2 linked regions of the Drosophila melanogaster genome follow. The gene in region 1 interacts genetically with each later gene. Each region holds a gene or a part of one and is shown in the gene's direction. Other genes may lie near its edges. The genes, in order: MTF-1 and ATP7.

Region 1 (5,199 bases):
CGCGCTGCCCATCATTTCGGAGGATTCCGAGCTGGTCTTGCGTAATCCGGTGCGAAGACCCCAGCAGGATCAGGCTGCGTCGCCCATTACATCAGCATCTTCCTGAACCGGAGGGAACAATCATACGTATAGCTACCACCCATCATATACATAACAAATAATTATATATACTGGCATCAGCGTACACGATTAGATTTAAATATTGTGCACTCGTAGAATATCTTTTATATATCGTCTGTGTAAAAACGAACCCATATATTTATGGATTGAATATAAACATATTTACAAATATGTGCATGTCTACAGTATTTTCCATTCGAATGCGAATAAAGATGATAAACGGAACACAGACTTGGGGTTCTTGAATTTAGATCGAGTTTCCTGCCTGGTGAGCCACTTTGGAAACGATGTTCACTTTGGATATTTTTCAATCGAATACGCATAATTAATTGAAACACAAAAACATACACTTTAAATGCACTTCACACAAATTTATTGTGATCCCATGCAAATCAGAACATCATCATCTACGCGCTATACAAATCTTAGTTGCGACGACCAAAGTTGTTGGTGTTGGGCTGGGTGAGCTGCAGGCCACGGATGTTGTGGAAGTCCAGAAGCTTCAACATCTCCTTGGTGTCGGCGTCGACCTCGATGATGTCCTGCTCCAGAGCGGAGACGGCCGGGACGTAGTTGTCACGACGCTCACGCTCCTCCTCCTGCAACTTGATGGAGATACCACGCACCTGGGAGTGACGCAGGCGGCCCATCAAATGGGTGACATAGCTGGAAAGGAATTTGGGGATTATAGATCCACTCACTAACGAGATTTGAGCGGCACTTACCCGGCAATCTTGTTGCGCAGGGGCTTGGTGGGAATGATGGCCACCTCCTCGCAGATGCGCTTGTTGGTGTGGAAGTCCAACGTCAGGCGAGTGTAGTACTTCTCGATGATGACCTTAGCGGCCTTCTTCACCGTCTTGGTTCGTACGCGACCCTGTGGTAGTTGATAAAATGTTTAGTATCACGATAGTTCAATCCATTTTGTTGTATCTTTGCGATAGTTTTCTGTCACAACTAAATAGTTATTTGCAGCTGATTTTCTGAGATAGTTGCGGCATTTTTCGGGGACTTTTAATGTAAGAGGCCTTCACTCGGTTTTAGTTTAGGTTTCTTTTAAAGTTTCCGTTTGAATTGCTATTTGGTATTGATATTAAGGACGGTTTCAAGACGCCGGATACAAATAATTGCTTTTGGGGTAACAAAATTGGCACTATGCACGTGGGATAAGCGGCTGTCGTTGCCGTTTTATGCTTGTTTGACCGCTTTTTGATTCGAGTTCAGCCAGTTTTTCGTTGGTACGTACCATTATGTTGCTCGATGGATATTTTAATCACCGCTAAAATGAGAAATAAGCAATTATTTTTAAGAAAAACGTGGAGAAACAAAATTTGTGCACATACCTCGCCGGAAACGAAAGAAAAAGAAGGATGCCGTGTGACCAGGGTGGTTGTGTGAAAAACATACTAAAATATACCGCAAATATACCATAATTATGCAAATCTCGAAGGTAGATGAATTAAATAGAAATAAGAGAGGACTTGAACCTTAGAACACATTATTTAACAAAAACCGCATTATTGTACTAAACATTTTAAATGAGACTATTGTACAGTGCAATGGTACCTAAATATGGGCTAGAATACTTGTTATGAAACAAACTCTTTTTTATAAGAAAATATATAAAATCTTTAAAAATAAGTCTATTCGGCAGTATATTGGTTTCGCAAATTTATTCATTCTTTAAATTAGAACACCTTAGTTTCAATTTCACACCACGCTTGGAGACTCCGCCTAAAACTCTACACGCGGTTTGAGTCCCCACTAAGCGGTGTCCCCTTTTGCGTTCCACTATTTTCGGTATATCCCAGTTTATGGTATATTTCAGCCAGAACCGCGTTATATTTTGTCGTTCCGCCCATGGTCACACTGGTTCTTATCGTTGTTGCTTGTGCTTTTCGATCGCGGATGTGTGCTTTTCGATCTCGCGATCTCTAATTTCTTTAGCAATCTATATATATGTACATATTGCACGGTGGCAGCAGAGAAAGAGAATAACAACTGCATATCATATGCGATATAGCAAGCGTTTGTCTTAGTGTGCGTGGGTGTGCAAATAACAAATAATACGACATGAACGACCAAGAGAAACAACACCAGCAACAACAACAACACTACTTCCACAGCGAGTGGAAGACTACCGCTAATAGTCATGGAAATTCGTTATCAGACAGCCGGGATTATGATACCAACTCGTCGCGCAATTCGCTTTCCGGCTCCCCGCCCGTCACATCCAATTGCTCCTCCTCTGGTTCCCTGGACTTCGACAGGCCACTAGCTCAGTTGCTCGAACCGAAATTGGAGGCCGACGGGCTGGGCATCATCCATGGGGACAACTACAGCATCTACGGCAGCCAGACGGCGGAATCCACAAGTGGCGAGCAACAGGTGCTTAATCTGGGCCTCACCCTTGATACGGGGGACGCCCAGGCGACATATGGCGACCTATTCGGTGCCCAGGATCAACTCACTGCATCTCAAACTCATGGCCATTCACAAGTTGTTGTATCTGCGGCAGCGGACAACGCTTTTTCGCTTGCGGATCAACTAACACCATTGCCCATCACGGTCATACCCATCACATATCACCATACCACCGAGAATCTCAGCTCCAGCCACTCTGAAGTTCCGCTGATAGCCAGTCTGAGCGATATCACCGCCCAGGTGTTCAATCTGGATGACATCTGCTTCACGCTGGAATACCAGTTCGAGAACCAGAGGCTCGTCCAAGTCCAGCCGCCCACTGTGGTCTCGCTCAGCATGGTGTCCAGCCCCAACGAGGCTGCAAATCCTCCAATCAACTGTGATAACGACCAGGGAACTGGAAACAGCATCTCTAGGGACTCCACATCCAATTCTCCAGCTTATTTCACAATTGAGACGAGGTATTCCCCACTTGCACGTACACCCACCGCTGCATGTGTATTTTATGATTTGCTTGTATTTGGAATGTTTTTTTGCTTAGGCGTGGTGTTTTATAGATATGATAACAACAACCCGTTCTGGAATTGCAATATTATTCGTGTAGAAAAATGTAACTATAATTTTATATAGATTCAGAACTATATATTGCCTTAAAAAATCGGTTCTCGAAACTTCGTACATATGTGTGTATGCATATTGTATATATATCGAAGCAAGAATTTTGCCATATATTTTAAACAAAATTCAAGGAAAATTATTGAATTCAAAAAATCAAAATAAATCATAAGTCTTGGCAAAGCATTTTATTTGAGATATTGAATTTGGTTCAAGCTTTGAGCACATAATTAATTCATTAAATTTATGTTATGATTAGAGCACAGAATTATGAAATATTAAAAATATATACACTTTTTTGCCGATATTATTTAATATTTAATTTTATGCCAGTCCTTGAAATCGTTCGATTGCCTTACGAAAAAAATCACTTAATTTCGATTTGGTGCAAAAGCCAGAACGGGAATAATAATTGCATATTTTTAGTGTCATGTATGAGTGGATTTGTGCTTGGTGCTTTTGTCGTTTTTTGGCCAATTATAGTGGGCCGTCAGGTGTGCCTTGCCCTCCGCATTCTGACCCCCGCCAGGGACACCACCGCCCCTCTTCGCTGCTAATTTTCCACTGCCCACACACAAAAAGATTCTCGAGAGAGAGAGAGAGAGAGCGCGGAAAAAAGGAAAACATTTGCCTAGCGTCTGTCGTGACGTGTCCGATTTTTTTTTTAAATTTTATTTCACTTTTTGTTTGGCTGCCCACGAAAAAAAAGAGGCAAAATCGAATTTTCATATTTTCTTCCTTGTCGAGAATTTGTGTTGGCAAATTTCAAGCGTTCCAATGTCCACTTATTACAACGCGGTGTCCGAATCGCTTGCAAGTTGCTTGCTAATTGCCTGATTTGTGTTCTCAGCCTGTTGCATTTCTGCGCGCTTCAATCGACTCGACCAGCGCATACCCTCGTCGCAAACATCCAATATTACCGAGACTATGTGCCAATGGGCATCATAATGGCTGCATGCCTTTGGGCCTCCACTTCGGCTGATGATTGTATCGAAAATCATTTGTTTGGGCCAAAAATAGTTGCGGCGATGAACGCATTTAGATTTCTACCCCCACCCCAAATGCCAAGCAGAATGTATAGATGGATATACATATGCATACATAGATGTATATTTCTACAATGTGTTAGGCGAAGACGACCGAAAATTTCCCCGAAACTCATTAACACTTGATGTAAAGAAGCCGGTTTTCAAAAGAATCCAAATTGTAGTGGCTTCTATTGTGAAATTCTCCCCCAACAAAGTGCGATTTGGCACTATAAAAAGTTTTCTCTATATATTCTATTTTTCCCAAAGGGTAAAAATCGTAAATGTCTCAAAGGTCTTTATTCTCTAGAAATAGGCTAAATAACATGTACAGCTGATAGGGCTTTTAATATAAATACAAAGCAAATCAGTTCTCCCGAAACTTAGTTAACAACTTTGTGATAAGTCACGAATGCTGAAGGGTTTACACAATGTTTACTCACATTTCAATAGATATGGATGATACAGGAAATCGACTGATAAAATGTACAGGGTAATAGATAGACTTAGACCAGCTGATACGTAAAGTACCCGATTGATTGAAACCCTTCAAAAGATATGCGGAATCGGTCATAAACTAAATTTTCCCGCGACTAAGTCCAAATGATCTGTTGTGATGGGCTTAGTTCGCTACGTTCTACATTGTTGTTGCTCTTCGCTAGCTCATTATTCTGCGGTACAATAATTTTTCAATTTTTCATCCGTGCCTTGCTTGTTGTGTTCCTTCCTTCCTGCCGTGCTCCCCGTTCGGCGACGACGCCCTCTTGCTATTTTTACCGCCATGAGTAGTGTTCCCTCAATCATATTTCTCATTTTTCAGTACTCCCATGATTAGAGGGGGCGGGGGGAGGGGCATCTCGATGGGTGAGCCGGTGGCAAAAGGGATGAGGAAGGGTCCGTGGGGGACGCACGCTGCCCGTCAGTCAGCATGCCAGCCGTCTCAGCGCCCACGCACTTGTTGTTCTGCTTCCCTCGGCTTTTCTTTATAGTTTCTGTTGCCGTCTGCTATTTTATT
Region 2 (4,994 bases), on another chromosome or scaffold:
GTACTAAAAGAAGAAAATGTATTTATTAAGCATATGCAGCAGATGTATAATAGAATGCTTACCCATCTTCATTTCTTCATCAGCGGATATTAAGTCACATTCTTCAACGGGATCCTGCAGACTTGGAATGGGCAGTGGTGGAGCTTCCATTGGATGTACTTCCTCCGCTACGTCATCTTTCTTCTGCGCGAACAAACGTGGCCAGTTCTGAATCTCCGCCTTGGTTAGTGACAATTCTAGGCCATTCTCAGCCAACTTAAATGCACTTAAATCATCTCCCACACTGGCGTATAACTCTTCGTCGAATATAACCTCATCCAGATGCTTTACAACGACAGTGGTTTTAGAACCGCTCACGTTAAACTCTTTAGCGGATGCAGTTGAAGGAACATTGAAACGAATGAGCACATTATTATCCGTTTGGGACCAGCTATAACTAGGTGGACCTCCATTTTCCAGCTGGCCATCGTGATCACCTGAGGAATTCAAGCGGGCAGCGGCTGCTTCATCGGCTGCCCGACGCTCCTCGGGAGTCTGAACATCGCGGTTGCTGGCAATGACTAGGGACTCGGCGCGAGGCTCAAAGGCGCAGTAGTGCACAGAGCCAGTGGTCTCCAGCCGTTGACAGATATTATATGACCACTCGTCATTGGTGGGCGAATGAGTCCACCGTGCCCAGGTCAAGTCCATGTAATAGACGTGCGTCTGATCTTGGCCAACTGCATCACGGCGTGCCACATGACCGGCCACCAGCGAGATCTGCTTACGTTCCTGCAGCACATCCAGCCGGGCATCGAAGAGTGCAAAGCCGCGATGACCACTGTTATTATTCACCGGCGAGCGTGTAATCCGTTGCCACTCCTGCACATCGGTGCGCGTTCTGTCGCCGGTGTCCACCAGATGGTAACTGGTTATACCGTCGCAGATCACACAGAATCGTTCCGAAACGAAAACTATGGTGTAGTTGTAGTCACCCGACCGATGTAGTTCCCCATCGCCCTGATCCCTATAGTCCACCGTGAGGACAACGCGCTGGGCACGTGCGCGTCCAGTCTGTAGATCGTAGTTGCACTGCACCAGCTGGTGGCGCTTGTTAAAGAAGTAGCTGCAGTGGCGCATCCATGGATCGGCTACCAGGTGATTGTGTCGGGCAAAGAGCTCCGTGTGCAGCAGCGAGAACTGATTGCTGCTCGGATCCAGCACGTAGGCATCACATCCAAGTTCCTGGCGAAGAACAGGCACCGAATCGAATGCCAATTTGTAGCCAGAAAAGTCCGAGCACACCAGGTTGCGATCCACTTTCAGTTCCACCACCGGCATCTTGCTTTACTGCGCCAATGCTGAGTTGGATTATATTGGAGATTTCGAAAAAATAGAGATAGATATTCCAAAACAAATCAAATCAAATCGGTAGTAGACCGGATAGAGATGGCAGATGACCGTTCGGCCGTGACTCGTATCGACTTTTTATCGACAAGTGGGGGATATGTACGATACCTTGGCAATTTTCAAATCTAATAAGATTCCTTTTTTTAGTTTGAAATTTAACTAAACAATTAAATAGCTAAAAAGAAAACATTAGTTAGTCACATATTTTTTTATCGAATCGAAAGTTTAAGCAATGTATCGATATAGCCCACATCGGTATCTAGCTCATCTCGATAGCGCCTGCCTATCGACGGACGGCCATCGGTAGTTGCGTGCCGTGGGAAAAACATAACGGGAGCGGAGCAGCTGTTGCCTGCTAATTGAAAAATTAGACACAAGAACGCAAAATTGTGAGTTTCGTGTGGAGTTTGGCCAAGTGAAAAGCGTTGGCGGGAGGCGACTACTCCACCACAACAAATCCAGTAGTAGCTGCAATACGACTCACCCGACTCCACAAAGTTAGTTTAGTGACACAATTCGGTACGTGCGATAGGGCGAGGGGCAACTCAAAAGTTCAAAATCTCAAGTATATCAAGTAATTCCGCATCGTCGTGTTCCGCCCACCCAAAATAATGCACATTGAGGATGCCAAGTGACGAGAGAGTAGAAGCGACGATGTCCACGGTGCGCCTGCCCATTGTGGGCATGACTTGCCAGTCGTGTGTGCGCAATATCACAGAGCACATTGGCCAGAAATCGGGAATCCTTGGCGTGCGCGTCATTCTCGAGGAGAATGCGGGCTATTTCGACTACGATCCCCGACAGACGGATCCCGCCCGGATAGCCAGCGATATCGACGACATGGGCTTCGAGTGCAGCTATCCAGGGGATGCAGCAGATCCTCCCGAAACTCCCGCCAGCGCATGGACCAACATACGGGTGGTGGGCATGACCTGCCAGTCGTGCGTGCGCAACATCGAAGGCAATATCGGCACCAAGCCGGGCATCCATTCCATTGAGGTGCAACTGGCGGCCAAGAATGCCCGCGTTCAGTACGATCCCGCCCAGTATGATCCCGCCCAGATAGCCGAGCTCATCGATGACATGGGTTTTGAGGCTAGTGTGCAGGAACCTCGATCGCCATCCCAATCGCCGTCGCCCGCCCCCGCCTCATCACCCAAAAAGAGGGCAACTCCTACTCCTCCACCTCCTTCATATGCTCAAAATGGTTCGGCAGTGGCCATACCCGTCGAACAGGAGCTACTGACCAAATGCTTTCTGCACATCCGAGGCATGACGTGCGCCAGCTGTGTGGCCGCCATCGAGAAGCACTGCAAGAAGATCTACGGCCTGGACAGCATCCTGGTAGCCCTGCTGGCCGCCAAGGCGGAGGTCAAGTTCAATGCCAATGTTGTGACGGCCGAGAATATAGCGAAATCAATCACGGAGCTGGGCTTCCCCACCGAACTCATCGATGAGCCGGACAACGGCGAGGCGGAGGTGGAGTTGGAGATTATGGGCATGACTTGCGCCTCCTGCGTCAACAAGATCGAGAGTCATGTGCTTAAAATAAGGGGCGTGACCACCGCCTCCGTCACACTGCTAACAAAGAGGGGTGAGTGTTTTTTGTGTACTTAAGCTAAGTGGCTTTCTGGAACTAGTTTATCCCGAGAGAATTTCAAATCACGTTCTGGGTCATGCATTCGAATCGAATTGCGAGTCTGGAAGCATTCCACAAGTGGCAGTGCCAATTGTTATGCAATATTTATAATAATAAACACCTGGAATGGGGCCATCAACCGATATGCACCTGTTGCGCTTTATTCTTGCCCAACGAGCACAGGTGTTAAATTCGATCATATATCTTGTATATCTTAAGGGATCGAATAATGCAATGGGAGTAATGAGCTGTAACAGAAGCAAACTATTGGCAATCGTTAATTGATGCAACTTGTGGCAATAACAAATATTAAATAAGCCATTCAAGGGAATTTCGTAGAATGCCCTTATTTGTTTTGCATTTCGCAGAAAGCGACAGCTGTTCCTTTTTATTAACCTACTAGCATCGAGTTCGAGTAGAATCGGTGCAAATGTTTTTTTTTTTTTTATTGTTCGCTTTTCACAATTTCCACAATTGAAAACTGGCCCAGCAATTGTTTATTGCAACTGATATACTCGATTTACTTTATGCTTTTTTTTCTGGGGAGGGTGGCAGGTTCGTTGATAAGAAAGTGCGAGGAGCACTATACTCATATGCATGTATGTATGTATGTACTTTATAAACCATACACTACTAACTATGCTTTCAGCAAACAATGCCAGTGGCAACTAGATTAAATAGCTGGAATTCACCACGCTCGTGTGCGTGGGCAGTAAAGCTATCTGGAACACTTGGATGAGGGGAATTCAATGGCAAGCCGAGAGTCGGGATATTTAAAATATTCAAGATATTCGCTAAAAAACACATAATATAATTATTGTTTTGTTGGGCGCTGGCAGCTCGAGTTTTATTTGCCAGATTATAGCGTGTTTTTTGCGAGTGTTCAGGAAGAACTTATATATACATATTTATGTATGCGATTAGCTGACAAAGAACAAATGAAATGATTTGAGCTCTTTGTTTTCATAAACTTTATACTGCCAATCGCATTTACCAATTAGCATTTAAGCCATGAAACTGAAAGTCCGCCTGGCCAAAGAAAAATCAAAACAAAAGTGAAAGAGCTCCAATACGCCTTGAAATACAAGTACATACATATAATGTATGTACATATATATGTATGAATGTATAATAATTTATATACCCGCGATTGGCGGGCAAACGAGCGAGGAACTAATCTCGCTTTTGTCTGGAAAAAAAGAGGGAAACCTCTCTCTTTTTCAGCTTTGCAGTCTTTCTGCTCCGCATGCGTGGCCACGAACTCCACTTCCACTTCGTACACAGCGAGAAATGGGGCTAACTATGATATAAGTATTATATAGAAGAGTGCTATCTACTTCGGCATATGATCAGCATATAAAATCTACTAATATTTAAAAGCACGAATCGTACAATGTTTAGCAAGTTTCTTTTATTTTATGTTAAGCACGCACTTTTTCTTCGAGTGCATTTCTAGTTTCATTCACCTTCACTTTGATTTAGAGCTGTTTTTACTTTACTTTTGCTTTGCCAGCTCAAAAATGTTGATTTGAAATTAGTGAACTAGTGGCGAATTATGCAATAACTTGGCTTTGATCCACCACATTCACATTGAATTCTGGCTGATTTACGAATATCGGTTTGCATACCCGTATTTATGTATGTACTAGATGTACGTGCGCCGTTTTGAGAAGCTCAATTGCAAATTCAAAAATGAAAATGCATAAATGGGGAGCCTCGTAATTATGATTGCAATGGAACTGGTTTTCGATTTTTTCGCATTCGACATGGAGACATGCGCACGGTGGAGAAAAGCGAGCGAAACTGTTGCGATTAAATGACACTGAAAATAATTTCAGACATTCAAAAGTGGTATGAAAACAGCGAGCCCACATGAATATCAATCGCTGGCAGCTGTATGATGGTATATAAAGTACAATATCGCTTGTTTTTTTAAAGTTTATTTGTTTATTTTGAATTTACATAT

Evidence for each region.
Region 2: of MTF-1 (region 1) and ATP7, changing one suppresses a phenotype caused by changing the other (phenotypic suppression), as found in Drosophila melanogaster (one study listed by BioGRID).

The regions. Positions count from the first base shown.
Region 1 is NT_037436.4:9,428,329-9,433,527, forward strand, and holds the start of MTF-1 (metal response element-binding transcription Factor-1), read left to right. Parts: upstream 1-1,983; 5' UTR 1,984-2,193; coding exon 2,194-3,005; intron 3,006-5,199. Other genes in the region: Shc (SHC-adaptor protein), read left to right, coding at 1-106; RpS17 (ribosomal protein S17), read right to left, coding at 546-786, 846-997, 1,367-1,369.
Region 2 is NC_004354.4:11,853,339-11,858,332, forward strand, and holds the start of ATP7 (ATP7), read left to right. Parts: upstream 1-1,683; 5' UTR 1,684-2,013; coding exon 2,014-2,983; intron 2,984-4,994. Other genes in the region: CG10347 (uncharacterized protein), read right to left, coding at 1-3, 63-1,320.